Tribolium castaneum: one gene and its partners. The protein of the gene in region 5 purifies or fractionates together with the protein of the main gene of each other region. This does not show direct contact. Links are inferred from orthologs where the notes say so. Each region holds a gene or a part of one and is shown on either strand. Other genes may lie near its edges. The genes, in order: SmF, Sf3b3, noi, Prp19, U2A, Prp5 and SmD2.

The links.
Region 1: the proteins of U2A (region 5) and SmF purify together in Homo sapiens (affinity purification with mass spectrometry; 3 studies listed by BioGRID and IntAct, counting the BioPlex papers as one, with this or other methods). This does not show direct contact. The link is inferred for Tribolium castaneum from reciprocal best matches to the Homo sapiens genes SNRPA1 and SNRPF.
Region 2: the proteins of U2A (region 5) and Sf3b3 purify together in Homo sapiens (affinity purification with mass spectrometry; 5 studies listed by BioGRID and IntAct, counting the BioPlex papers as one, with this or other methods). This does not show direct contact. The link is inferred for Tribolium castaneum from reciprocal best matches to the Homo sapiens genes SNRPA1 and SF3B3.
Region 3: the proteins of U2A (region 5) and noi purify together in Homo sapiens (affinity purification with mass spectrometry; 6 studies listed by BioGRID and IntAct, counting the BioPlex papers as one, with this or other methods). This does not show direct contact. The link is inferred for Tribolium castaneum from reciprocal best matches to the Homo sapiens genes SNRPA1 and SF3A3.
Region 4: the proteins of U2A (region 5) and Prp19 fractionate together in Homo sapiens (co-fractionation; 3 studies listed by BioGRID). This does not show direct contact. The link is inferred for Tribolium castaneum from reciprocal best matches to the Homo sapiens genes SNRPA1 and PRPF19.
Region 6: the proteins of U2A (region 5) and Prp5 purify together in Homo sapiens (affinity purification with mass spectrometry; 3 studies listed by BioGRID and IntAct, counting the BioPlex papers as one, with this or other methods). This does not show direct contact. The link is inferred for Tribolium castaneum from reciprocal best matches to the Homo sapiens genes SNRPA1 and DDX46.
Region 7: the proteins of U2A (region 5) and SmD2 purify together in Homo sapiens (affinity purification with mass spectrometry; 5 studies listed by BioGRID and IntAct, counting the BioPlex papers as one, with this or other methods). This does not show direct contact. The link is inferred for Tribolium castaneum from reciprocal best matches to the Homo sapiens genes SNRPA1 and SNRPD2.

What each region holds. Positions count from the first base shown.
Region 1 is NC_087398.1:3,705,952-3,708,921, reverse strand, and holds SmF (small nuclear ribonucleoprotein F), read left to right. Parts: upstream 1-1,539; 5' UTR 1,540-1,655; coding exon 1,656-1,830; intron 1,831-1,882; coding exon 1,883-1,974; 3' UTR 1,975-2,071; downstream 2,072-2,970. Other genes in the region: mitochondrial coenzyme A transporter SLC25A42, read right to left, coding at 1-56, 100-248; calmodulin-like protein 4, read left to right, coding at 701-703, 754-784, 833-1,248. UniProt on the Homo sapiens protein: Plays a role in pre-mRNA splicing as a core component of the spliceosomal U1, U2, U4 and U5 small nuclear ribonucleoproteins (snRNPs), the building blocks of the spliceosome.
Region 2 is NC_087394.1:10,462,876-10,467,099, reverse strand, and holds part of Sf3b3 (splicing factor 3B subunit 3), read left to right. Parts: intron 1-854; coding exon 855-1,189; intron 1,190-1,250; coding exon of another isoform or gene 1,251-1,332; intron 1,333-1,508; coding exon 1,509-1,660; intron 1,661-1,734; coding exon 1,735-1,890; intron 1,891-2,492; coding exon 2,493-3,740; intron 3,741-4,224. UniProt on the Homo sapiens protein: Component of the 17S U2 SnRNP complex of the spliceosome, a large ribonucleoprotein complex that removes introns from transcribed pre-mRNAs.
Region 3 is NC_087397.1:5,205,740-5,210,409, forward strand, and holds noi (splicing factor 3A subunit 3), read right to left. Parts: upstream 3,035-4,670; 5' UTR 2,892-3,034; coding exon 2,796-2,891; intron 2,744-2,795; coding exon 2,537-2,743; intron 2,488-2,536; coding exon 2,415-2,487; intron 2,358-2,414; coding exon 2,044-2,357; intron 1,995-2,043; coding exon 1,858-1,994; intron 1,810-1,857; coding exon 1,470-1,809; intron 1,419-1,469; coding exon 1,217-1,418; intron 1,168-1,216; coding exon 1,034-1,167; 3' UTR 981-1,033; downstream 1-980. Other genes in the region: neuropathy target esterase sws, read right to left, coding at 84-298, 345-438, 489-593; NF-kappa-B essential modulator, read left to right, coding at 3,310-4,670. UniProt on the Homo sapiens protein: Component of the 17S U2 SnRNP complex of the spliceosome, a large ribonucleoprotein complex that removes introns from transcribed pre-mRNAs.
Region 4 is NC_087395.1:23,125,398-23,130,412, forward strand, and holds the start of Prp19 (pre-mRNA-processing factor 19), read left to right. Parts: upstream 1-2,011; 5' UTR 2,012-2,019; coding exon 2,020-2,143; intron 2,144-2,265; coding exon 2,266-2,415; intron 2,416-2,459; coding exon 2,460-2,923; intron 2,924-5,015. UniProt on the Homo sapiens protein: Ubiquitin-protein ligase which is a core component of several complexes mainly involved pre-mRNA splicing and DNA repair. Required for pre-mRNA splicing as component of the spliceosome.
Region 5 is NC_087395.1:21,924,454-21,928,304, forward strand, and holds U2A (U2 small nuclear ribonucleoprotein A'), read left to right. Parts: upstream 1-1,851; 5' UTR 1,852-1,937; coding exon 1,938-2,019; intron 2,020-2,065; coding exon 2,066-2,213; intron 2,214-2,263; coding exon 2,264-2,616; intron 2,617-2,671; coding exon 2,672-2,797; intron 2,798-2,846; coding exon 2,847-2,881; 3' UTR 2,882-2,983; downstream 2,984-3,851. UniProt on the Homo sapiens protein: Involved in pre-mRNA splicing as component of the spliceosome. Associated with sn-RNP U2, where it contributes to the binding of stem loop IV of U2 snRNA.
Region 6 is NC_087399.1:718,356-723,305, forward strand, and holds the start of Prp5 (probable ATP-dependent RNA helicase DDX46), read left to right. Parts: upstream 1-1,999; 5' UTR 2,000-2,137; coding exon 2,138-2,151; intron 2,152-2,216; coding exon 2,217-2,390; intron 2,391-2,438; coding exon 2,439-3,277; intron 3,278-4,950. Other genes in the region: bug (thioredoxin domain-containing protein 15), read left to right, coding at 882-921, 970-1,715. UniProt on the Homo sapiens protein: Component of the 17S U2 SnRNP complex of the spliceosome, a large ribonucleoprotein complex that removes introns from transcribed pre-mRNAs.
Region 7 is NC_087395.1:17,190,250-17,193,115, reverse strand, and holds SmD2 (probable small nuclear ribonucleoprotein Sm D2), read left to right. Parts: upstream 1-1,298; 5' UTR 1,299-1,398; coding exon 1,399-1,755; 3' UTR 1,756-1,779; downstream 1,780-2,866. Other genes in the region: serine-rich adhesin for platelets, read left to right, coding at 443-538; Vps51 (vacuolar protein sorting-associated protein 51 homolog), read right to left, coding at 2,036-2,144, 2,190-2,302. UniProt on the Homo sapiens protein: Plays a role in pre-mRNA splicing as a core component of the spliceosomal U1, U2, U4 and U5 small nuclear ribonucleoproteins (snRNPs), the building blocks of the spliceosome.

The DNA of each region.
Region 1 (2,970 bases), on a different chromosome or scaffold from region 5:
GGTGGTACGTTTGTCGCAGAAACTTGAACGCCTTGCGAGTTGAATAGGGTTTGTTGCTGCAGGAAGCCAGTTAGAGGGGTACCAAACGTGGGGGCTTACCTGATCTGGAAGTTGATTTTTGTGCGGTCCAAGGGGGCTATCGTGGTCTTGGCGAGGGCCCCCGCTATGGCGCCCGCACACAGACTAGTGAGGACGATCTGAGTGTTGCTCAGCTGACTCGAAACAGGGTCATGGCTTTTACGAGCCATTTTTTGGAAGACTAATCAAGGCATTATTGGGTCAACTGGAACGGGAATGAAGAATTAGAGGAGAGTCGGAGGAAAGGAGGCAAAGTTCAAAGTGTGTTACCTTTTTTTAATTGGACGGGGATTTAACAACATCTAAGCGTGGAGTGATAAGACTATCGCAAATGACGAGCTGTTTTGTTATATAACTTTATTTATTAATAAATTACGTTAGAAATGAGGCGATAAATCGATTCGTTCGGGGGGTTTACAACCCTGATTAAGGGCTCCCACTAATCGGGGCCCCAAACAATTACCTGGCACAATTGGGCGATAAAATCATCATTTTATCAGAGATAAAAATAAATAATTCATTAATGACGAGTCTGTGCCAAATTTCGTGACGCTAACTGTACTTTCACCTGTTTCACCTTGATAATAATAATACAATTGACGTGTAAATATTTACAAGAAAAATGGTAAAAATAACCCGCTAAACCCACCCCAAACCTAATCAAGCTTGTTTCAGGCCCGCTACTTCAAGGAGCAAGACATTGACGGTAGGTACCCCCGTGATAGCCCCCCAAACTAACTCGTAAATCTTGTAGAATTTCGCGAGTGTTTCTACTTGTTTGCGCGCTCGGGGCACATCAAGTCCCTGGACGAACTCACAGTGATAATGAGGAGTCTGGGGCTGTCGCCCACCATCTCAGAGCTTGCGGGTTATTTCAAGCAAAAGAACGGCAAAATGAGCTTTGCTGACTTCTTGGAGGTTATGCATATTCACTCACGGGTGGAGAACGTGCCCAAGGAGGTGGTGGACGCCTTCAAGGCTGGGGACCCGGAGGGGAAAGGGGTGATTCCGGCCAAGCAGCTGCGTCACATGTTGCAAAACTGGGGCGAGTGTCTTTCGGCCAAGGAAATTGATCGGATTTTCAGAGAGGCAAATGTTAATAACAACAGTATGGTGCGGTACGAGGATTTTGTTAAGATTGCCTGTGCACCAGTGCCGGATTATTACTAGAGGGGGCTTACCCTAACACAGTCTTTTCCACGAAATTATGTAAAACACATGTCACAAATTTTTATTTTCGGATTTTCGCACTGGGGGGTTGGCAATGATTTTTCGGTTTGGTAAAATAGAGAGCCGGCAATCAACCCCCGCACAGTTATTTATTCTAACGCCAATAAATCATTAATTGACCACAATCCTTGTTTTTTTTAATTACGGTAATTTTAGTCCAAGAATCACAAAAAAACAATATGCGCCCTAAAAAATCAGACACCCATCAACTTTTTATACGTCGATGGTGGATGGAAATTTTGACAATTGACACAATTGTCGCTCGATTCCAACCTCACTTTTGCTGGTTAGCGTTGTGTCAACGTTTTTAGTTTATTTGCGATTTTTTGCACACAAAAACAACAACCATGTCGACCGCAATGCCCATAAACCCCAAACCTTTCCTCAACGGCCTAACAGGCAAGGCTGTGATGGTAAAATTGAAGTGGGGGCACGAATATAAAGGTTACCTTGTCTCAGTTGATGGTTACATGAATTTACAATTAGCAAACACAGAGGAATTTATTGATGGGAATATGACTGGTATGTAACTATGCTTTGGAGGCGGACCCCCTTGTGTAACATTTTTTTACAGGTAACTTAGGGGAAGTTTTAATTAGATGTAACAATGTCTTGTTCATAAGAGGGGCTGAAGAAGAGGACGAGGAGGGAGAGACGAAGGATTAATTATTTAATGTAAATTCAAGTTTAAATGTACGATCGGATACTTACGTAAATAAGTATTGTAGATTTAATTTTTTACCAAATAAATCGTGTTAAAGTACTTGTTTTTTTTTCTACATGTAACGTTACGATTGTCTACCACAAAAAAAATACACAAACTGTTACGGATTATAAACAAGAGAACTTGCTTTTGAAAAAAAATACAAAAATATATTTATTTGTTTAACATTAAAGGACGCTATAAAGTGGGGGATACATACAGTGTTCTATAAATAATTATAATGGAATAAGGAAATGATAATTAAGTACCAAAAATGTAAATTAAATCCTTGTAGTTAACGGCAAAACGAACAGATAGCAGCACAACTGAAGAAAGTTCCCCTGCACTTACAGTTACCTCTCATACACCTGCTTTTGCATTTACCCGAGAGGGAGCCAAAACATACTTTATATTTTAAAAAGCATCAATTTAATTTAATTTGATAACTTTGGCACACATTGGTCACAAGAAAAATTAAAAAAAAATTAAGTGTCATCAAATGAAGAGTCAAATACTAAAAATATTTTTTGGGCCGAAGCGAAAAAATTCAAAAACCCTTTTATCAGCCAAAAAAACTGTGGATAGCAACACAATACCTAAAAAATATATAAAACTAAAATTATTGGTCAATATTTTCAGTAAAATTACAACGCTGGCTTAAATAATTTCAATTTCAAATAAATTTAACAGTTTATCCATACTTTTTGTATACAGCGAGTTCGATAAATGGACTGCCATCGCTTTACTGCGAACTCACAGGAGTCAGAAAAGTTCACTGAACGGTAAGTAAAAGTAATATAAAAATTCAAAATTTATTAATTATTTATTCATACTAAAAGTGAAAAGTACAATTGCTACAGTTGTTAATAGTAATACGACTCGTTTGCGCACAATTAGAACTGAATCAGTTGCATTAGTCACAGAACTCAGAGGCCGTTGTATATTACTCCTATTATTAT
Region 2 (4,224 bases), on a different chromosome or scaffold from region 5:
GAAATCGGTAAGTGGCTGGCATTTCTTAACTTTCACCAACCGGAGAAACAAAAGACTTTAGAAAAGAACCAGAAAAAGATTATAAGAAAAATCCAAAGAAAAGTACAGAAAGAATGTTAAAAAATAATCTGAAAAAAATTCTTGACAACGTAAAAAAATGGAGTCTATAAAATAATTCTGAAAAACAAAAGGGTAGGATAAAGATAAAAATATCTCTTAAAGCTCACGTTCTAAAATGAAATGTTTAAAATTATTTTAAAAACTGCATAGTTTAATAGATGGATAGATGTTTAAAACAATTTGGCTGTTCATAATAAAACCTTCGTTTACACAATTGATAAACATACAAAAGACGTATTAATTTATTTAAAAACAAGAAACTGTAACAAATTTTATTTATTAGCGTCAATTAGTTCAAAAACGACTGGTAGACTCTCGTATTTTCCGCTGCGCTTATTAAGGGTTTCGATTTTGGGAGAGTTTCACTCATTTACAAAGTCGGGTAAAATTTTAAAACATTATAAAATAGCCTAAGTGACAGAATAAAAAACGCATGGATCTGCTCAGGCATCTATTTAATTGGTTGTCTGTTTTTGTTCCATGCAATATTAACCTCTTCTTGTCGCCTCCGTCGCATTTCTGTGGTGTTATGGAGTGAATCAAGGAGATACATTTTTTTTTTCAGTTTTGTTTTGTCATTAATAATACTAAATAGTAATAAAGAAAATTCGTCGCAAACTAATTTTATTTACAGTAATTCTGTACTATGTCTATTTTTTATTCTTTATTTTTTGAAATCAAATAATTTGTTAAGTTTTTTAATGTCAAAATATTTTCATGGGTGATTTTTTCAGCTACTTGTATCAGATCGCCCATCTTGGTGACGACGACGATGAGTTGGAGTTTAGCTCCGCTATGCCCTTAGAAGAAGGTGACACTTTTTTTTTCGCGCCTCGTTCCCTTCGTAACTTGGTTTTGGTCGACGAAATGGAATCGCTTTCACCGATTCTATCTTGTCGAGTTGCTGATCTGGCAGGTGAAGACACTCCTCAATTGTATATGCTTTGCGGAAGAGGCCCGAGATCCTCATTGCGGGTTCTACGACACGGTCTCGAAGTGTCTGAGATGGCCGTGTCCGAGCTTCCTGGCAATCCCAACGCCGTTTGGACGGTTAAGAGAAGAAGTGACGGTAAGCCTATTTTATTTTATTACTTTAAATGAAATTCATTGTGAATGAATTTCTAATAAAGCCTGGTGGTTGAACGATTTTCAACACCAGTTGCTTTTTATTTCAGATGGCGATTGGTTTGCTTGTCGTTCTGCGGGAGTAAGGTGAGTTGGAAGAAAAGAAAAACGGGGGACAATTAACGAAACAGTGATGATATTTTTTGTCCGTGTTTCAACTGAATCATTGTGATTATAGTTAATAACTGAGTTTTCTTATGACAACTTAGTATTATCTAAGATACTTGGTTTAAATACTATCATTTTGGGTTTATTTGTTACAGATGAATATGATGCTTATATTATTGTGTCTTTCGTTAACGCAACTTTGGTATTGTCAATTGGTGAAACTGTGGAGGAGGTTACAGACAGTGGCTTTTTGGGTACGACACCAACATTGTCCTGTTCAGCTCTTAGTGACGATGCCTTAGTTCAGGTACTTCTCATAATGCCCATTTCTATATATTAATTTGCAATTGATTTTTTATTATTGTATTTTTTTATTTTTAGGTGTATCCAGGCGGTATTCGGCATATTTGTTCCGATAAGCGTGTAAATGAGTGGAAAGCTCCAGGGAAGAAAACAATCGTAAAGTGTGCAATTAATCAACGACAAGTGGTTATTGCACTGTCAGGGGGTGAACTAGCTTACTTCGAAATGGATCCGGTAAATATTTTACTTCAAAAATTATTATCCCAGTTTATTCAAGGCGTTATTGTCTTTAATGCAAGTTTACTCTAACTTTATAAGTGTTATAACGGTAATTTTTCGCTTATTTATTCCGTTTACAATAAATTGCTGCATTTGATACATCGTAAAGTAACAAAAATATCAAATTGCATTCATTTTTCTAAACTATTAAACTATTGAAACATAAGCAAAAATCATTGCAATTACCGAAAACTGTGATCTAATCAAATTGCAATGTTTTTTAGAAAAAAGATGCATTAAAAAGTAAAAAATACTGTTTTTCTTTCAGTGGAGAATATTTTTGCTTACAAGTTAGGATTCTAAAATTTATAAAAGCTTGAGAATTTCGACTGTTTTGAGTGACAATAGCAGGGCGTCATACGCTCTCGGAGAGCTTCAAGAAAATACAGACTTTTAGAACTCTGACTATTAACTAACTCGCTTGAGTCGCTTCCCTCATTTGGCAAATTTCCATTCGCAATTCGGTTCAGTTTTCTGATAAAATCACACAAGCGGACTCACTTCTTGAGATTTTCACAATTTCAGCGATCTTTTAGTAGTAATTCCGTGTTTTACAGACGGGCCAATTACACGAATACAAAGAACGAAAACGTATGAACGCCGACGTCGTTTGCATGGCATTAGCAAACGTGGCGCCCGGCGAACAATTATCCCTCTTCCTTGCCGTGGGATTAGCCGATAGTACAGTACGGATTATCTCGCTAGATCCGAGCGATTGTTTGGCGCCGCGTTCTATCCAAGGATTACCCGTTTGTGCCGAGTCTTTATGTATCGTAGAAATGGGTTGCACAGATCGTGAACCGGATAACGCTGCAGCTGCCAGCACAACAAGCACCTTATATCTGAACATTGGACTTACAAACGGCGCTTTACTTCGCAACGTATTAGATCCAGTTTCTGGAGAATTGTCAGACACAAGAACGAGATATTTGGGTTCGAGACCGGTCAAACTCTTCCGAATACGAATGCAACAATCGGAAGCTGTTCTGGCAATGAGTAGCCGTTCTTGGTTGAGTTATTACTACCAAAGTCGGTTTTATTTGACTCCACTCTCGTATGAAAGTCTGGAATATGCCTCAGGGTTCAGTTCCGAGCAGTGTCCAGAAGGCATTGTTGCGATCTCCACAAATACGTTACGTATTTTGGCGTTGGAAAAACTAGGGGCTGTTTTTAATCAAGTCTCATTTCCGCTTGAATACACCCCGAGGAAGTTTATAATCCATCCTGAAAGCAATAATTTGCTGATCATTGAAACCGAGCACAATGCCTACACCGAAGAAACCAAAAAACAACGAAGATTACAAATGGCCGAAGAAATGAAAGAAGCCGCAGGTGAAGAAGAACAAGAGTTGGCTAAAGAAATGGCCGATGCGTTTTTGAATGAAGACTTGCCCGAAAGTATTTTTTCGGCGCCTAAAGCCGGGCATGGAATGTGGGCTTCGACGCTTAAAATAATGGATCCGGTACAAGGAATCGTGCATAAGTGTATACGATTGGAACAGAACGAGGCAGCAATGTCTAGTGTTTTGGTTAAATTCCAAAATCAGCCACAACAAACTCTGTTCTTGATTGTTGGCATTTCTAAAGATTTTCAACTAAATCCAAGGCATTGTAACACTGGGTTTTTGGATACTTATAAAATGGATCCAATGGGTCGGGAGTTGGAATTTGTTCATAGAACTCCTGTTGATGAAGTTCCAATGGCCCTTTGTGCTTATAATGGACTGCTACTTGCAGGAGTTGGCAGGATGTTGAGGCTTTACGATATGGGGAAGAAGAAACTCTTAAGGAAATGTGAAAACAAGGTTAGTATTATCATTTGTTTAATCATTATTGATATAATTCAGATGTTTAGACTAAGGCAATGGCATTGCTTCTTTCCTGATGTACACTGAAATATTTTTTTGCTGAAATTAAAAATTAATAAAGTATATTTTTTTAAGTATTAACTTTATAACGATAATATATTGTGGGGAGGGACATAATTTCAAGATTAAAAAAGAACTATTTCATACTAATCTGCTTCAAAATTATTTTAACAAACCTCTTTTTTTAATTGTGAAACAACTTCCGTATCATTTCGATTTTTTATCTTAGTAAATATTATTGTGTATCTTCAGTATTATTTGATTTAAAGAAACTTGATTCATAACTTGCCTTTAGACATTAATAAATGATGAAAAATTTTTTTTCTGAAATGGTGTTGAAATCCTGCAGTTCTGATTCTTTCTTAAACCAGCAATGTTTCCTTACTTATGCGTGTAGGTGCTAATATTAATATTAGGATAT
Region 3 (4,670 bases), on a different chromosome or scaffold from region 5:
TGTTTATAAATTCCTAGAAATTATCTCGTGTCCTTGCTTTCACGCACTTGTGTAACGCCGAGATCTGGTTACATATTAAATACCTTCAATTGTTCCGTATCATTTTCCTTCTTTAGTTGTAAAATCCGTCTCGCGAATTTCATCACCATTTTCCTTTTCCTGCCCTGACCGGAGTTCCGCACTTGGCCCGAAATATTTTTCACCTTGCGTAACATTTTGCGCCCGTAAAACAACGCTTTATCCCTCTTCCTGAACCTTGCACTTGCCTCTTCGGATTTCAATTGTCGCGCAAAAAGAGCTAAATCAAATTATTACAACCGAGACAACTAAACACTAATTTGTACCTTTTCGGTGGCATTTTCGTATGCAAAAATACGTTACTGAAATTATCGTTGCGAAAATCGCTGCCAGTAACACGGGCAGTAGCTGGAAGCCCCACTGGAACCCCGTGATTACGCAAAAACTGATTCAAATCGCAGTTTTCTTACCTGGTACGTCTCTTGAGTCGAAAAACTCGAGAAGACCTCACCGAACCAACTGGACTTGAGGGTTTCTTCATTGTTTAAGTTGTATACCGCATTTAATACGTCCATTTTAGCTCGCACATTATAGAAATTAGACTCTGATGATTAAAGAATTAGTGATTAAAGGTTGAATAAAATCACAAACCTATTTGGATGAATTTACCCACTTATGTGTCAAAGTCAAATCTGGTCAAATCACAGGCACAAACAAATGCGCATCGTTCGGTAAGTGAGAAAAATTGCAGCCGACTGTGCATTCAACCGAACTCTAAAAACACGCTAAATGAGTACTTAAATTATTATTTATTTACGCAGAAACTACTGAATAATTTCTTAAGTAACAGGAATAATTTTCACTCTCTCTATCCCTATTTCGGGCTCAGTTTTGTACGTTCGTGCTAACGAACAGTCGAAAATTCCCCTTCCCAAGGCGACCATCAAAATAAAATGTCAATATTTAAAGTTTTGTTTATGTTTTTTATTGATACTTATTGTTAATACAGCACAAATTACAATAAACCTTGTCTTTTAAGATCCTCGTAAGTCTTTCTGTTAACGACGTTCCCTTGCGAATCCTCGTACTCTTCCTCTGTTTCAGGTTGCCAACGCTCTGCCTGTTTTTGCACTTTGAGCTTCTCCCACACTGGAAAACAACCGTAACAAGGTAAGAAACCAAAATTGCAACTTCTTACGTGCTAGGGCATCCTCAATTTGCGTCACGTTGGCAAAATGCGCGGTATTGGGGATTCCCAGACAGCGCATTCCATGAGCGTGTCTCCACTCCGCAAAGTGTCTTTGAAACGCCTTTGGTCCTTTATAGACGTAATTGCCGCAAATTTCGCAGTTGTAACTGATATTCAAACCGTGGAGTTTGTACAACCAGTATGGAATCGGCTGCAATTACGAAACAATCAATTTTACCAACTTACTTTCAAAATCACATACTTTTCCATCCCAGCCCAAAGGTAAGTTTTTGGGGTTGTAGGGAACGTCATCGTCGGCTTCATCGGGACTTTCCTCCTCACTCTCCTCATTTTCACTATCGTCTCTTTCACCATCCGTCCGCGCTTGTTTTCTCTGGACATTTTCCTTAGTTGCCGCGCGTTGAGGGGCGACCAGCTCGGCCAACCTATAAACTTGTGCCTCAAGACAGGCCAGTTCTCTTTGTCTCATTTGCTCCTTTTCCTTACTGGCTTTGCCAGATTTGTTTTTAGTCATTAGAGACGGATCTAGTGAGCCTTTGCCCTTGGTTGAAAATAAACGCTGGGCACGCTCTTCCAACGTCCTAAATAAATAATTAGAATTTTATTTATGGCAAGACGTAAATAATTACCCGCCACATTTTAAACCAAGAGCCATTAGGGCCGACTTCAATCTGTCCAAACCTAAAGAAGCCAATTCCTCCCAACTTGAAAATGCGGACAAGTCTAAATGGGCCCCAACGTTCGCCAAGGCCGACCCTGTCTCTTTCTGAAAGTAAATGAAGTAGTAAAAATAAATTAGTTTTTTACCAAATTACGGGCCATCCTGGAACAGTCCCATTCTCCCACTGGACCATAACATTATCAACTTCGTTTTGCAAATCAGCATCAATGTCCATCAAAGGTTTGACTCTTTGCACGAACCAAGTTAAATACTCAATCAAGCAAAGCAAATATTTGCGATATTCTCCAGTTTTGCGTTCTTTAGGAATGTCATAGAGCTGGTCAAAAGTGCCCAAATATGTGATATAATCAACCTTTTCAATGCCTTTCAAATTGATATATTTCTCGTAACATTCGTGCAAATCCAAATATTTCCCATAACCTTCCTCATCCGTAAATTCAACCAAATCTTGAAAAAACAAACGTAATTAAACAACTGTGATCACACGAGCCTAGCAAGACTCACTTGCCATTTCTTCAGTGGGATTTTCACGCGCTTTGGCTAGTTCATCGAACTCAACAGACATTGGAATACTTATCTGAGAAAAAAATCATTACACAAACACACAAAATATTCAAAAACTATACCTCATTAGGATGCTTCCTGTAAAAATCTTTAATCTGCTTGAGACGATTGTAAAACTCCTGAAACTCATTTGGACCTGTAAGGGCAGCGACTTCCGCTTTTCTTTGCCCGTCCTTGTCCTCATACAGCTCAATCAAACGATCAGTGGAGGTCATATATTTGTCTAGCAGAAATTTAAGGCGATAGTCCGAGTTTATTGCCTCGCGGTACTAAAACAAAGACTCTGTCAGGGGGCAAAGCGCCACGAGAATCACAACTTACCGTTGTTTTTTTATGTAAAATTTCTTTAACCATTGCGTCAATGAGACGCTCTTTTTCCTCGTGATAACGCCGTTGTTGCTCCAAAATCGTCTCCATTGCGACTTTTTTTAGAAAATTGCGAAAATTATTTATTTACCCGACGCCATCAAATGTCGACTGTCAAAAAATGACAAAATGTCAGCGTAGAATAAGAGAGAGGTGCACCATTATTGTCACACTAGAAAATCACTAAGCGGTTTTTCTTTGACTTTACAATTTTTTTACGACTACAGTTGTGTCCCAAATGAAATTTTACGTAAATAGTTATGCCACAATAACATTTTTAGAGCTTTAATATTCTTAAAAAATTAAATTAAGGCTAAGGCGACTTTTTATTGGTCCGGTTGGTAGCAGTGTCTTTAATCGTGTGTCAGTAGTTTGGTATTTTCATATTCTATGTTCTAATTCATTCTATTTTGCGCCGCAAATGTAGTGTTGTACTGCAGCTGTTGTTAAAACTTGAAAGTCATCAAAAATGAGTCGTGACGAGTCCTTCGTTGCTGTGAAAAACACTGCAGAGTCCATGGTTCCGTCAATCGGGTCCGATGATGAAGATTCATTTGTCGTTTTGGAAACTTCAAATTCCATCAGCGAAAGTTTGTCTTGCAGCCCTCCAAGGGACGAAATCTTGCCCCCAATAAGGACAAATAAGGTTCACGAAATGGAAAATCTAATCAGGATGAAAATATCACAAATTACCGTTGATCCGTTGCCAGAATTACCAGCAGCTGTTGATGCGATTGTGCCCTCAGTTGCAAGTATTGCAATATCGCCGGATTCGTCGTATGAAGAGATTCAAAAACAAGTGGAAGAACTGATTAAGGAAAACGAAAAGTTGAAGAATATCATCGCACAAAATAACATGAGTATGAAGGCGCAGTATACGAGGTTTTTGGCCTACAGGGATGAGGTCACCAATGTGATGAAGTCCTACAAAGATAAGTTCAACGATGCCAAAATGTGCATAGATAAGTATAAAGAAGAAAATGCAAAGTTGGTTAGTGACGTTGAAGTTTACATCAATCTTAAAAAGCTCCATGAAGAAGAAATCTTGAATTTGAAACTGAAGCTTAAGGAATTGGAAAATTTGACCAACGGCCCCAACTTTTCAGTTGTTGACACAAGGAAATTAGCAATGATGAAGGATTTAGAACTGAAACAGGAAGAAATTGAAAGACTGACGCAAAAATTGGTGAATGTACCGAACCTTGAACAGGAATTACAAACCAAGCAGCAACAAATTGACGACTTTAAACTGGATATTCTCGCCGCAAAAAATCGCGAAAGCGACCTAATTGACGAAATCCAGTCAATGAAGACAACAACCACCGACCTCCAATCAAAATTGGATAATTTAACAAAAGAAAACGCAAAACTCGTCCAATCATCGACGGCAGCCCAAACCTACGACCAGCTCCTCAAACTGAAAGAAACGGAAATCTTGAAACTGAAGGAAGAACAACAACGCACCGCTTTCGTCGAATCCACCCTCAGTGATGAGATAAAAACCCTAAAATCGCAACTTAAGGAGCTCCAAGACAAGTACAACCCGCGTTTGGCCGAAGATTATGCCCAATCCCGGGCCCAGTTGAGCGTTGCCCAAAGGACAATCACAGCATTGGAACAGGAAAGGGAACAGAAGATTAAAGAAATCGAAGATTTGCGTAAACTACTTCAAGAAAATACAAGTGCCAACGACGAAATGTTCGCATTGAAGGAACAAATCGAAGTGTATAAGAACGATTTTGAAGCAGAGAAGAAGAGCAAACTTGCGATGAAACAAGAGAAGGACCAGGTTGTTGAAGATTTGCAGAATCTGCAAACGAGGAACAAACA
Region 4 (5,015 bases), about 1.2 Mb from region 5:
GAAAGTGGCTTGCTCAAAATTTAATGCAAAGAAACATTTTTTTTTTGGTTTCTTTTTTATTATTATTATTTTTTATGCTACAAACGGTAGCCAACGTGGAAGCGAAACACAGGTACGTCCATTTTATTGTTGTGTCGTATTTATTTATTTATTTTACAAACCAATAATTTCATAAAATTTAATTGCAATTACAATGTTGCTCTAAATACGGTGTTGAAAAGTCATAGTTTGAGTGACTCATTTTAAATTCAGTAACTAAAAATTAAATCAAACACTCAAACAGTTTATTGCCACGTAATAATTTTGTCTTTAACTTCAATGAATGAAAGTGGCTTGCTCAAAATTTAATGCAAAGAAACATTTTTTTTTGGTTTCTTTTTTATTATTATTATTTTTTTTGCTACAAACGGTAGCCAACGTGGAAGCGAAACACAGGTACGTCCATTTTATTGTTGTGTCGTATTTATTTATTTCACAAACCAATAATTTCATAAAATTTAATTGCAATTACAATGTCGTATACACCGGCTCTAAATACGGTGTTGAAAAGTCAGTTTGAGTGACTCATTTTAAATTCAGTAACTATTAATAAAATCAAACACTCAAACAATTTATTGCCACGTAATAATTTTGTCTTTAATTTCAATGAATGAAAGTGGCTTGCTCAAAATTTAATGCAAAGAAACATTTTTTTTTTGGTTTCTTTTTTATTATTATTATTTTTTATGCTACAAACGGTAGCCAACGTGGAAGCGAAACACAGGTACGTCCATTTTATTGTTGTGTCGTATTTATTTATTTCACAAACCAATAATTCGTTAAAATTTAATTGCAAATAAAATGTTGTGTACACCGGCTCTAATACGGTGTTGAAAAGTCATAGTTTGAGTTTTAAATTCAGTAACTAAAAAGAAAACACTCAAACAATTTATCGTCGCGTTTTGATTTTGTCTTTAATTTCAATCGATGAAAGTCACTTGCTCTAAATTTAATGCAAACATTTTTTTTTGGTTTCATTTTTATTATTATTATTTTTTTAATGCTACAAACGGTAGCCAACGTGGAAGCGATATGAAGGTAGGTGTATTTATTTACTGAAGTTTTAAATTTAAATTGCCACATATTAAAACGTATTGTGTATTTTTTATTTTGTTTAATATTGACAAATGTTGCTTGTTGTAACTTTCATGCAAATAAAGATTTTTTATTGGTGTTGTTTTTATTTTTTAATGTCTTGCTACAAACAGTAGCCAACGCAGAAGCCATATGAAGGTAGGTGCATTTTTTTGCGTTTTATCTTGTGATGTGTTGAATTTAATAGCTTGTGTGCCATATATTATACCGTATTGTGCATCCTTTATTCTGTATAATATTTATTAGTGTCGCTTTTTGTAACTTTCCTACAAATTATTTTTTTTTGTTGGTTGTGTTTTTAATTTATTTTTTAGGTTTTGCTACAAATGGTAGCAGATGCAGTATAAAGGTAAGAACATTTATTTAACGCCAAGTGAAAAACTTTGATTTTTGTGTACTTTTTTTTTATTACACAAACCAGTAATGTCTTTATTCCCTTTTATTTTCCAATAATCATTGTTTACCTCATCCTTATTTCCTTTTTTCCTGGCAAGAATGCTCTAAACCTCCACGTGGTTCTTGCTGGACAAATTAGTTATTAATTTGACTGATTAGAGCAATCTTTAAATACGAATTTTTTTAACGCAGTTTGCAAAATTGAGACATTTTTTTACAGCCGAAGGCCCTATCGAAGGGCTTATTCCCCTACAAAAATAATGAACATTGCACGGTAAAAAGGGGGTGAAAAAAAACAATTTGCATTGCTTGAATATAAGAATAAAAATGTAGTCAAGTTTTAATTTGTAATAGAAACACATTAGAATGATCAGGGTATGTTTTTCTAATGATTTACGATTATTTTGATAATTTTCCTGGTGTGAACTTGGCTGTAGAAACGAGAATGTTGCTAGCTCCAGGCGCGCAACGATTGTCTGGTCGACTGTAATGTTCATGGTGCCATCATCATTTTTAGTGCATCTGCACAGATATCTCGGCCACAGTGTTTTTCACTTTGTGCGGTTGGCGACACATCAAGCTAAGTTAGCAAAAATGGCGTTGTTTTGTGCCCGTAAGTATGAATTTTTGTTGCGATTTTGAATAAAGTACGCTTTTTTAACGAATCAAAACTTAATTCGAGTGTCAGTAATGAGCTTCTGGCGCAGTTTGGGTAACGATTTGGCCCGGTTTCAGTTTCAAACGAGGTGCCGGAACACCCAGTCGTGTCCCCAACGTCGGGTGCGATTTTCGAAAAACGCATCATCGAAAAGTACATCCAGGAGCACGGCAAGGACCCCATCAGCGGTGACGAGCTCACCGTGGACAAGCTCATTGAAATTAAGAGTGAGTAGCCTAACCCAACTTGTTCGGTTCTAACCGCCACACAGCCCCGCCGATAGTCAAGCCGAAGCCGCCGAGCGCCACCAGCATCCCGGCCACGCTGAAGCTGCTGCAGGACGAGTGGGACGCCGTGATGCTGTACAGCTTCACGCAGAGGCAGCAGCTGCAGACGGCGCGCCAGGAGCTGAGCCACGCGCTCTACCAGCACGACGCCGCGTGTCGCGTGATCGCGCGCCTCAACAAGGAGGTGACCGCCGCCAGGGAGGCGCTGGCCACGCTGAAGCCCCAAGCGGGCATCATCACGGTGCCGCAGCCCGCGGTGGCGGCCGAGGCCGGCGGCATCGCCAACCAGCCGACAGAGCAATGCGGCCTGACTGATGAAGTGATTGAGAAGCTGCAGGACAAGGCCACGGTGTTGACGCAGGAGAGGAAGAAGAGGAGCAAGACGGTGCCTGAAGAGGTGTCCACGCCGGAGCAGTTGAGGGGATTCAAGACTTTGGCCTCACATCCGGTATATTTTCAATGTTTTTATTTATACCATCCAGTATTTCCCCGAACATCTCTTGCATTTTGCACAATTGTCGTTTTAAAAATTTCACTTGACAAATGCAAAGATTACTAAATGTGGTAGAAAATGACTTAGTTTTCTCTCTTACGAGTGTTTTAGCACATTTACCAATTGGAAAAACGTGTAAAGGTTGGTGTTATTTTGCTGGATTTACTCGATTTAGCTTGTTATTGGGCGAAATTTCATCAAAAATAAGCCAAAAGTCACAGGATGTGTTCAAAACACTGATATTTTTTAACTAAATGTTCGTTCAAATAAAAGAATTTCTTTCTAACCTAATTCTAATTGAATTGAGCCAAAAATGCGTTGTTTTTTTTAAGTAAATATCTAAATATTTCAATAAAGTGATCGAAAATGATGTCATTTCAGGTTGTTTATCTCGAACTTATTCTGAGAAATCAGGAAATTAATTTGGGAAATCTTCTATTTTCGTAATACATTTTGCAGTCAAAAAGCAAAATTTCGTTGAAATCTTGTTATTTTTGCCATTTTCCGGCAATTTAATTCGTATAACATTCGACAATGTAGTTATTTCGAATTTTTTTTTTAAGATAAGAGCGAAAATGTTACATTTTTTTGTTGTTTTCAAGTGTTTTAAATTTTTTTTGAAAACAATTTAAGCTTTTTTCTATAAACATTACAAAAACTTAATAAAAAAGCACTATTTTTACATCAAGATGGTTGTTATTTTAGACCATTCCCTTCGATTTTGTTTGTTTTTGAGCCAGGAATTTATTTATTTCCCAACAATAAAAATATAAACTTATTATTTTGTTTTTATTAACTTTGATTAACTTTCGCGAAATTCCCTTTAAAAAAAAACGCAAGAAACCACAAAATTTGATCAAAATTTTTACGTTTTTTAAGCTTTAGAGCACGTTTTTGAATTTAATTTTCAGCTTTTTTGGCGAAATTTTGCAAAACCAACTGAGAAAAACATGCAGAAATAATTTTTCTGTTTTTTGAGGCTTTTCTAAAAAGGTAGATGAAAAAAACACCAAATTAATTCTAAGATTTTATTATTTTTCGAGTTCACGAGCATTTTAGTACGCTTTTAAGACAGAACTGTTTTCCAAATTTCGTAAAAAAAATAAAAAGCCGACTCTTTTATTTTACGAGATCTTGACAAAACACCTAAAAATCAAAAACTTATTATCAGCTTATTTTTGAATGAAATGTTCCCAAAAACAAGACAAGAAACCAATGAAATTGTTAAAATTCTTATTTTTTCTTTATTCATGCTTTCAAGCACATTTGAATTTTTGTTTTAATCGCCAAATTAAATATAGAAAACTACATTAATTTTTCATTTGCGATCATTTTAATACGTTTTACACTTAAAACCACAAATATTCCGCAAAATTTCGTTCAAAACCATTCGGAAACTAATTTATTTTGTAATATCTTGTCACATAAGTGAATCGACATTAATTATTATTTAATTATTTAGTATATTTGAGTTTGAGTGAAATTCGTCAAAACTCATTATAAATAAGTCGAAAATTGTGTTAGTTTTACTTTTTTCCGGGCTGTAAGCACAAACTTTTGCTAGAATTGGCTAAAATCATCAAATTAATTAACACAATAACAAGTGTTCATTTAAAAAAAACTCTAGAGTGCTTTGAAAATAAAAAAATAATTGTTTACTATGTCTGTGATTAATCCGTTCTTTCATAACCTTACTTTTTGACAACTAAAAGAAAACAGATTTTCATCATAAAATTTATTTATTATTTATAAAAACTGTTGGAAATGTCTTCCTTGTTGTTCAACACACATAACACATCGCCTTTGAACACTATTTAACAATCTTTGGCTATGAATTGTGATGACCTGGTTGATAGGCAACCAACAATACAATGATAAAAATTGATCTACGAAATCCGTAAAAATGTCAGAGCATGCTACGAGTTTTTTTTAAATAATGAACACCTGATACCATTTATTTAGTTCGCTCTTGAACCAGGAAATTCTTCATTTCATTAGAACTCGCCAAAACTGCCAAAAATTCACTTTTAATTCAGCTCATTTTTTG
Region 5 (3,851 bases):
GTCCTTGATCTTGGCATTAATTATTTTTGGATTAATTAGTCGCAACTATTTCATAACAACAAACAAAGACCCATTGTCTGGTATTTCATTATCACCGAAATCTGGTCCACTTTTTCTACTTAATTCGGAATAAGTTTTCTCACCAAAACTTATTTATTTAACATTTGTTACCGAATTTTACTTGGTAGAAAAATCTCAAGTTGCGTGATACATGGGGAAAGAATTTGAAAAAGTGGCCAGGCCTTGGGATTTTCTCCGTAAACACGTAATTGGAGGCAAAGCTGGGAGATAAGGAAAAATAAAAATGTTTTTTTCGTGAGATTTGCATGTAACACAGAGTTCGTTGTAACACGAATTACATTGACACTGGACGATATTTCCGTTACTCCAAATTTGAATAATCTAAGGTCGCGCTGATTGTATTGTGACTCGCAAAAATTTTGTATAACTTGTGAGAGTTGCTAAGTGTCGTTTAATTTGAATGCGTTTCTTCACCGTAGTACTAGTGTTTCTGCAATACCACATCATTAGACATTCTTTCATTCTGTCGTCCACGAATGTGGGTTAATGATGTTATTTTATTAAATACTTTTTGAAACGAATTTCAAATCAGCGCGATCGGCTCGAAAGTTGACAATGCAGCTAATTATGATTCACCTTTTTGTAAACATGGAATTTAACTCAGGGGAAGTCCTTGCCTAAGGACTGCCGACCGGAAGCGAGCGCAGCCTTCTCACATATTTTCGGTAACGACCGCAGGCTGCATTTCCATAATTATTTAATAAAGTGGGATATTTATAGACGCTGTGTATGCAGCGCTGCTAAATTAGGCGATTTGCAGTACTGTTCCGAAGACACTCGCACTTTTATTCCAATTAGCATAAGTAAACAAGGCAACAATTGCATTCTTTCAGGTGGGTGGCATTATACAATTATTACACATTGCGTATTTAAAGTGGGTCCTTCAGAAATTTGTGATGTGAGAAACCTTTCCCTCAAGTACAATTCGGCTCACAATTAATTATCATCAGGTGGTAATAAATCTTATCGCGAAACGCGCATTCTTCAAGTCTCATTAGCTCGGAAAAGTCACAAGGAAATTTTCTTCCAGATTAAGAATGGAACGAGTTTTATCACTCATCGGCGCGTAATTGGTGTAAGTTCAATGGAAATAAACCCGTTCGGTTTGGATAAACATTTGTGACGTCAATGAATAATTTGGCTCTTGTTTTTTGCTCTAAGGGGAAGTGAAGAAGACAATGGCTTGATTCGTTTCACGAAATCATTTTTTGATTAATTAATGACGATGCGGGGAATCCGACAGATAATAATACTTCAAACGTACATTCCACACATTCATTGTGTTTTTCTTATTGTTTAGCAACTTTTTTTAGCCAGAATTAGCATATTTGTGACCAACACAAATCGCTGAAATAAGTGTTGGCAGACGTGTTTTTGTATATAGTGAAGCCTTTGAATCCGAGCCATTTTTGTTTGGGGTTTTCCCGATTATGAAATTAATTTTTTCTTACCTAATTAAAATAAATAAATAACTGAAGCAGGACTTTTTATTACAAAATACAATAATGTAACATACGGAGTATATTATCAAATTATCATTATCAGCTGTTAACAGTTAAAAGTAAGTTTGTTTTTCGGGTTAGAAGGGGTTCGGATTAACGACGTTTTCCTGTATTTTTTCATATTTAGATTCCATGTTTTGATACAAAAATTAAATTATTAATTATTTGGTCCCAATGATTGATATTTATTGCTTCATCTTAATTTTGGAAATTTTTGGAAATTCAGGGAAATTGCGTTTGGGGCGCTCTCTACAGGTATTCGTGTAACAATTACAGAAACCTGTAACGGTAGTCGGTGAAATTGATGGCTTGTGCGTTGTTTGTTTAATTGTAATTTTTCGCTAAAACCTAATTATGGTGAAGCTAACAGCCGAGCTGATTCAAAATTCCATGCAATACATAAATCCGGTAAAAGACCGCGAGTTGGACTTACGAGGTGAGGACCAAATGTAAAAAAGTTGGGTTAAGTCATCTTTTTTTAGGTTATCGCATCCCCGAAGTGGAAAATCTGGGGGCCACCGGTGACCAGTTCGACACAATTGACTTTTCGGACAATGATGTGCGCAAGTTGGATGGTTTTCCGTACTTGAAGCGGTTGAAATGTTTGCTTTTTAACAATAACCGTATTGTGTAAGTTGTGGGGTTTTTTCGTTTTTTTTTTTTGAGTTTTGGGGTTTTAGACGCATTGGGGAGCATTTGGAGGAGTACATTCCTAATTTGGAGACGCTGATTTTGACTGGGAACCACTTGGAAGAGCTGGGTGATATTGAGCCGTTGTGCACTTTGGAGAAGCTCACCACAGTTAGTCTTTTACATAACCCTATCACTTCCAAGCAGCATTACAGGCTATACCTAATTTATAAGTTACCGCAGTTAAGGTTGCTCGATTTTCGTAAAGTCACAGCTAAGGAACGGGAAGAGGCGAGGGCTCTGTTTAAGAGTAAGAAAGGCAAGGAGATTAGGAAAGAAATTGGGAAAAGGGCAAAGACGTTTATTCCCGGAGGTACAGGTAACAGTATTGCCAAAAGTAAAGGTACGTCTTACATTTTCTGTGAGTTTTATTTTTTCAATTTAATTATTTTTTCAAGGCCTTACAGACGAAGAAATTGCGAAAATTCGTGAAGCTATCAATAAGGCCAGTTCTTTGGAAGAGGTTGAACGGTTACAGAAGATTTTACAGTCTGGTCAAATTCCTGGTCAAGAAGAAATGAACGGTTAATTTTTTCTATGATTTATTGTGGGAAATGTAATATTTTTTTTCAGGATATCAAAATGGACAAAGTATGGAATATGAATAAGTTTGAGGTAATTTTCAGTCAGGTGTACAATTAATTAGTTTTATTTATAAGTTCCGGTTGATAAGAGTATTGTACTACACTAAATACAAGGTTGAGAAGCGAGCGGAATTAATTTTTCATTTTTTCTAATAAAGCAATACGTACAATAACTGGGTATTATTTCAATCTTTCCCGACTGAAACAATGCCTTTCTGGCAAGATTTATCTGTTTCAGAAATTAATTGAACGAAATAAGCTAACAACAAATTTTGTTTTGCAGCTAATTTTTCGAAGAAAATTAGTTTTTAGTTTTCACAGCGAGCAAAAGTAATGTTAATTACAGAAATAAACCAGTTTTTTAAATTTTGCGGATTTTAAATTTGTCTGTAAACATGTAAAAAATAAAAAATTGTTTTTATCTCAAAACCGTCTTGCGAATACTTTTTAGTGGCTACTCGTGTCATTTTAAGAGCGCCTTGGAAATTGTGTCTAAAGTGACCGAAATACTTTTCAAAGTGTGTGGTAATAGTGGTTTTAGAATATTTCAAAGTTCAAATAAATTTTTTCATTTCAGAATGTTTTAGTTGATTTGGAATTATTTCTATAACAATTCGCGTCACTTATTTTATCTTTTTAATTTTTCATAATTTATTTGTTGTAGTTTTTTACAAAAAATGACTAGAAAAAATAGGTATACTTATTTTTGTTGAAATGAAAAATACAAAAAAGTACATTGGCATTAATAGCGTGAATCTAAATTTGTTATTTAGATTTTTTTATTTTGCACGTTATAAGTTGACCCTGATTTCAATTAAATTTTTAAATGATTAGTTGTTTAGTCAGTCGCTGATTAATACAAAATAGACTTTAGTCGTATCTTCGCTTTTGTAAAAAACAACTTGGGTTATTAAATGAATGATGTGTTATGCTTCAGTTTAAATAAAGCACTAAATAAAAACTGGTAATTTATTTCTTCATAATAATTACAATA
Region 6 (4,950 bases), on a different chromosome or scaffold from region 5:
ATACGGTTAAAGTTACAGGAAAAATGTTGGGGAGAAAGTTATAGAGAATTAAATTTTCTACAAAAAAGTCTGCGAGACCATATCACGATTTTTAACCATTTTCGTCCCAAAGTCGTTCAAAGGCGCTCAAGCGACGGATTTGCTTCATTTTGCCGGTGGTCAAGTACTAGAAAGTTAATTTACGCCTAAACTGTTGAAGGTAGAAATATGATGTCGGAGACTTTTTTCTAGAGAATTTAATTCTCTACAACTTTGTTTCTTACAGTTTTTTTGTATCTTCTACGGTTTCCACAGCGTTTGCAAAAATATAAAGTGAAACGCAAATAAACTTTCGGTTACTAGCGCTCTCATTTTTATTCTGCTGTACTATTTTTTTGGGTTCAGAATTTTCTTGTTTCATCTCCTAAGTTAAAGTCTTCCGTAGCATAAAGTAAAGTAAAACAAAAACCTTTTAAAAATTAAAAAATCCCACAAAAGGATTGAACAAAATAACAATGTATCTAAGACCTAAAATTCTTTGTAAATAGATTACAAATTTATTAGAAAGAAAACCAATTAGAGATTTAGAAAGAATAACGTAAAATTATGCGTAAAATAGTGATTTTTATATCAGAAATAAAGTTTAGCCTCCTTGATGTGAAATACAAAACTTATTAATTAACTTATTAATAAGTCTATACAAACGCAAGTTTAATAAAAAATTAAATTTTAATTTAGTTATTGGTATTAATTTCACGTAATTACAAAATAATTACGATTTCAAGATAATTTGCGCCGAAATTTGAAACGTCGGCCATCATAATTCGCCCGTTCTGTATTTCTGTATCGCTTGTTTTAACCCAACCAAATCAATAATTCGAAATGATAAAATAAGACACGAAATGGCTTTTTCTGCACATTTTTTCACATTCCTCGCGATAAGTAAGTGCCCCCTGATGATGTAACCCCATTACGTAACACTTTTTTTAGTCATAACCTCACACTTGACGTTATGTCAGGAGCCCGAAGTTGTGGAAGACATCTCCAGCAACCTCACCTCCTTCACCAACTCCACCCACAACGCAACTCTCACAAACACCACTGAATCATCCAGCAACAAAACCCTCAAACTCGTGCAATGTTTGCCCGATTTTGGGGCCCCCGAAGTCCAACTAGTCAACGACACCGAGCTCATTAAACTCCTCTTCACCCAGAGCAACATCACGAGCCGGGACACCCCCGCCGGGTGCATCCTAGTGCTGTTCTACTCGAAATATTGCCCGTTTTCCAGCATGGCAGCCCCCCATTTTAACGCTCTGCCAAGGGCTTTCCCCGATATTAAAATGGTGGCTATCAACGCGCTGGCTTATCGGTTGTTTAATACGCAGAACGGGATTGTGGGGGTTCCCACGTTAATGTTGTTTCATAACGGGAGACCCGTTGCTAAATTTAATGAGTCGGAGTATACACTTGAGCTTTTTTCCAAATTTTTGGCCAAACATACGGGGATTGCGGCTGCCGAAAAGTCAATTGTGACCTCGGCTGATTTCAAGGGGCCTGTCACCAGTGTCCCTGCGCGCGAATTTGATATTTTTTTGATCATTTCCTGGGTTTTTATTGCTCTGTGTGGGGCTTATTATTTCACGAAGTCCAAGTGCTGGGGGTGGATTGTTGAGACCATTCAGAGCAACTGGAGGGAGTCGGAGGCACACGCCCAGCATGAGCATGCCGATTAGGCCCTTTTTTGTTTAAATAAATTATTTTTATTGAATTTAATTGCGTTTTATTTTGTTGTGTGTTGAGTTTGTACTAAAAAAAGAAAATTGGGACGGAAAAAAAGTAAAAACTTCCATATCTTTTTTTTTGATAACATTTTAAGCCTTTTTTTAATATCTAAATCCTAGTTTTAAAACACGTTACCCATAGCAATATTTTAAAATAATTTTTTTGCCTAAAAGTCGCAGTTGGTATTTCTACTATCTCGAAAAATCCCCAAGCATAAACACAAAAAACACCAAATCTGGGGATTTTCGATCACTTTCTTTGTCAGATTACAGAAAACTGTAACCGTGTAAATAAAGATTAGGTTATGTTTGGGGCACAAAATCTTACTTTTAGTTGATTTAGGTCCAATTTTAAGAAAAACTAAAGACTTACGATGGTTCGGGGCGGGTAAGTGAAGCTATAATAATTTTTTTTGGCCAAATTGTCTAACCAAACTTTTGCCCCTTTTGAAGACGCGACAGGAGCCGTTCTCCCGACCGGAAGCGGCGCCGTTCGCGCTCCAGGAGCAAAGACAGGTCCAGGTCTAGCCGCCACCGTCGAAGTAGGTCCCGAGAGAGGCGCAGCAGGTCCAGAGACAGGAGAGAGCGTGACAGGCGTTCGTACAGTCGAGACCGAGACCGTCGAAGGTTTGTTTAATTTTCACTTTTTCCTGGATTAAAGTTGGAATTTCTAAGAGGTGACAGTAAGGAGAAGCGCAGTTCTGGCAAATCCAGACGTCGGGACAAGTCCAGGTCTCGCTCCAGATCCACAGACCGGAAGAAGGATGATTCAGGTCTGGCTTTTGATCCGGCGAACCTTGACAAGGAAGAAGAGCAAAAAAAGTTGGAACTTGAGATGCAAAAACGCCGCGAACGCATTGAGCGTTGGCGCGCCGAACGCAAGAAGAAAGAGGAAGAAATGAAGAAAGATGCACCAAATGCAACCACAACAACTGACGAAGCCACTGCCAAAAAATGGTCCCTAGAAAACGACTCCGAAGACGAGGATAAAGACAAAGGCGAAACGAAGGAGGATCAAGTCGAGGAAGAAACAAACGGGGAAGCACCGCCACAGGAAGAAAAACAAGAAGCGAAAGAAGAGAAAAAAGAAGAAGAAGAAGAAGAAGAGGAAGTCGATCCTCTAGACGAGTATATGAAAGGAGTTCAAGAAGAAGTGAGAAAGACTCACAAACTTGACATGAAAAAGCCCAAAACCGAGTCCGGGAATAAAAAAGGTGCCTTAGTTATTGTAACAGGGGTGGCCAAATCCAAGGTTAATAAAAACAAAGGTGAGTTGATTGAGCAGAATCAGGACGGTCTGGAGTACTCCTCTGAAGAGGAAATTGAGGACTTGAAAGACACAGCTGCGAGTATTGTTAATAAGCAGAAGAAGGAATTGGCGAAAATTGATCATAACATGGTTAGATATTTACCGTTTCGGAAGAATTTCTACGTAGAAGTGCCCGAAATTGCCAAGATGACGCACGAAGAGGTGGAGGCCTACAAGGAGGAGTTGGAGGGGATTCGAGTCAAAGGTAGGGTTTTTGAGTTGAATGCAAGGTTTTTTCTACTACTGCCTAAATAAAGCAAAAGTTGTTTTATTATTTAACACCCAGTGTAGTACAGTATAATCGTCGATTATTATTAATTAATTTTTAATAATTCGTGGAAGAAAATTGTTTTTCAAACAGTCGACGATAAATAATGATTTTCTGAGGCAATGTTTGTTGACTTTTAATGTTCTTTATTAAATAGTAGGCATTGGTAAAAATACATATAAAAAATAATAGGGGGGAACAAAAATATCTTAATAAAAAAAAGAACAATACAAAAAAAGAACACAAAAGACGGATGAAGAGGCGAAGTTGTGACACAGGTGTTCCACTTAATATTTAATATTAATTATTAAAAATTATAAAATAAAATGAAACTGAATAATTAATAACTAAATAAAAATTGTCTATCGACAAAAACAAAGAAACAAAATAGAAAAAGAAAGAAAATTTAATACAACATAATCGGAACCAATTATGGCAATATTTTGGAATATTTATTGTTCGGTTGACTATAAAAATACATATTCATTAATTTATAATAATTTGTCGGAAAAATATTTCAAACAGTCGACGAAAATTGGTAAATTAATTGGAAAAACTAATTTATTTAATAATTATTTGAAACACCGTTTGTTGACCTTTAATTAATGCTTTATATTAAATAATAAGTATTGGTAAAAATACATATAAAAAATTATAGAAGGATTATAAGAAAGAACAATATAAAAAAGACAATAAATGGACGAAGAGGCGAAGTTTTGTCACAGATATTCCACTTAACATCTTAAAATTTAATATTAATTATTAAAAAATATAAAATGAAAAGAAACTGAATAACTAATAACTAAATAAAAAGTGGCAATCAAGCAATAATAATTAATTAATAATTAATAATAATTATTACGAAAATAACATTCTTTAAGAATAGATTTTTATCTATTATCAATCCCAGACTTTTAGTCAAAGAGAAGCTGGAAATATTTTTGAAATAAACAGCTTTCATCTATTTCTGTCTTAATATTTGTCAACATTACATAATCATTCCTTTTGTAAGATCAAATTTCGATAAACTGTGATTTTGTGTTTTGAATTTTTTTTCTAAACACAAATTAAATCACATTGTCGGCCGGCCATTACAATTATTCATACACATCGAAGACGAAATTCTAGTTTTATGGGCGGGACCTGTTTATCGTCTGATTTGTCCCCGACTAATTTATCTACGGCACAAAAAACTGCAACACGATTAAGGTGTTTGCCATTGGTTATTGATGGACTAATGCGCTCCCAACTACAAAACAGGCCAATCACAAGGCGATTAAAAAGGCGACAAAAACTGGTTTTATTATTGGGTGCTACTTTCCCTGATTTCTAAGAATTGCTGCTGAAAATTGCAAGCTGAAACTACAGAGCAAACAATTTAGCGACCAAACATTTACTTTTTGTAATTGATTATTTGGTTAAGAAATGATGTTTTTTCGCGCTTTTGCTTTGGATGCCGGTCTCGCATCGGCACCCTTGATGAGAATTAAAACAATAAAACCTTTACGTCCCAATAATCGGATTTATTAGCGCGTCGTTCCATTATTAAAAATCCATACAGCTCCTGATGCAAACAAAGTCTTAAAATTCCTGTTTCGTGTTCAATTTTA
Region 7 (2,866 bases), about 4.7 Mb from region 5:
TTCGAAAAATATGTGTAGTAATGCCGCCGTTGATTGGTTTGATTGCATGATTGGTACCCCTTTACTCTCTAAAACATTACAAAATTAACACTAATAGCAAGTGCTTGGAAAATTTTCGCGTATAAACGCCCGGAAAATCATTTCCAAATCAAACTCCTCTACATAGAACTACTCTACATTTCCCCAAAAATTACCTGAGCAAAAGTCCACTCTTATAAACACTTGCGTCAAAAATAGAAAATTGCCCAACACAAACAATATCATTGAATACAGCGCGTGTATCTCGACACAAGAGGCATTCAGCAAGCAGCCGTAAGCATCGGCTATTATCCTATTTAGTCCGAAGTGGCCCCTAACGAGATTTAAATATGTTCATCGTCGATGTCAAACATATGAACTTTATTCCATTCATCTGGTCAATTGATTAATTGAATTAAGGTAGGCACACGAAGACCGAACTCATGAAAAACGAAGCCTCAAATGCGGGACCTTAGACGGGCGGCGACAGGAAACGCCGCAAATGAGGAAGTCGAATTAAGAATTATTAAATCTGACAACGTGTGACAAGAAAACAGACTTTTTTTGGTGATTTTCATCCATGCGGTATAAAGCAGCCAGACCGAGGAGATTTCAAAAACATCACCTTCGGCGCAACTACTTAATACCGGGTGGACAAGAGGCTTTCTTCTGGTGCGTTTCTTCAAGTATTTAATTTATATAGCGGGACGGGGTGGTTTATCGGCTCCTCACTGCATTTTAATGATTATTCTATTATTATTTGCGTTGGCATTGCTTGTATACTTAAATAAACACGCTGCTGGAATAATTACTTGCACTGGTTATCTCTTATTGTTATACTTACTATAAATAAAGAGTGATTATTGTTTATCGTAATTATTTAATTTTCGATTCTGGGGCTAACAAATTGCTGGGAATTAAACTCCCTTCGTTGGAAAAATGCACTGCAATACTCGTATTTGCAATATTTATTACATTTTCTAGTTAAATTATAATAAACGGTGCATTCCCCTATCTGATTCATTAATAGCTTGTTGCTCTTATATTTAACGTCTTCATCTCAATGGATTATAAATTGGTTTATTTGCTCGATTTTGTAATTAGTTTTTAGATCGTGGTTTTTGAGTATGTTAAAACTCTTAATTAATTATTCAAAAGAGTAATCTTAATGTAACTTTAAATGTGAGAAGAATAATTGTTGATTTAATTCGAAGTTTGTTTTCTTCACTTTAAATGTTTGAATCTGCCGCCATAGTATTAAACCCAGTTTGCGCATGCGCATTGCAAAATTCCCCAAACGCATCCAAAACGCTCAAATTCCTAACCTAACTATTTTTGTGCCGGAAAAAGTGTTGTTTTAAGTGCAAAAACCGAGTCAGAATGGCTTTAACGAAACCCAAGTCTGAAATGACGGCCGAGGAGCTTCAGGCTCGCGAGGAGGAAGAGTTCAACACGGGCCCCCTTTCGGTGCTCACTCAGTCGGTGAAGAACAACACTCAGGTGCTGATAAACTGCCGAAACAACAAGAAATTGCTGGGGCGGGTGAAGGCGTTCGATCGGCACTGCAACATAGTGTTGGAGAATGTGAAGGAAATGTGGACAGAGCTGCCCCGGCCTGGAAAGGGGAAGAAGAAAGCCAAGCCGGTAAATAAGGATCGGTTCATTTCGAAAATGTTTCTGCGAGGCGATGCGGTTATTATAGTTGTAAGGAACCCCCTAGCTACGGCTAGTGGTTAATTAGGAATAAAATTTGTATCTTCAGTTTAGTGTTTATTGAGGAAATTCACTTACCTATCACTTCACTCGTGTGGTCCTTCTGTTCTGCGGTTGATTGATACCGCGAACGTGATACTGTGGAAATATCACATTCATGTCGTTGCAAATGAAAGATTGAACGGTTTTTTAACATTTATCTATAAAAATAATACAACAAAATGTGATAAAATTTCTCCTTTTTATTTAAACAAGATAATACAAAAGAATAATAAATATTTGTAACTTATGCAAGCTGCATGACCTAACCCCTTTCACATATGATGTCCACAACGCTTGGTTCCATTAAAATCGGTTCCAGGCACCTGTGGACTGCTGATCCCAAAATCTCATCCAGGAGGAAATGAACCAAGCTGGAAAATTCAATTAATTTCACTAAATTCAAATTCGTGACGTACTTTTCATCCGCAACAAATCGCCACAAATACAACTGCAAGTAATGCGTGTCCACTTGAATTTGTTGGAGGCCAAATTTACTAAAAGTCTTCAGACGTACGCACTCCATGAACGTCTAGAAATTATTTTTTGATTAAATGCTTCAACCCTCCACAAAATGATGCCTTAATAAACTAGCCTCTGCTGTAAATTATCGGAATGCCAACTAGATGTAGTTCAGTTTACAGAAAGCGCAAGTAAAATTTAATTCAGAATTAAACATTTATTTTGCATTGTCAAATGTTAAGTTAATTAAAGGAAAATGTTATTTTTTTTATGAAAAATTTAACAAACCAATTCTTAAAGAAAATTAAAAAAATAATCATCTGGATAGGTGACCCAACGTTGCCTACAATTTACGATAAAATTTTTATTTATGACAGAAAAAATCCAAATAAATTTATACAGGGTGCTCAAAAACTGGCGCACCAACTCAGTGGTACGTTATTGAGAAGCAAGTGCAGATTACGGGAAAAATGTTGAAAAAATTCCTAAAGTAATATTTTAAAAAATCTGGAGCAACAAACTTATTGTGTTAACTTCTTCAGTTTTTATTATTTTTTAATGTTCTTATGTTTCACACCAAGTAATCGTTTCCTAACAAAACGATGAACAATTAGTTTTAAATTTCCTATCAGTC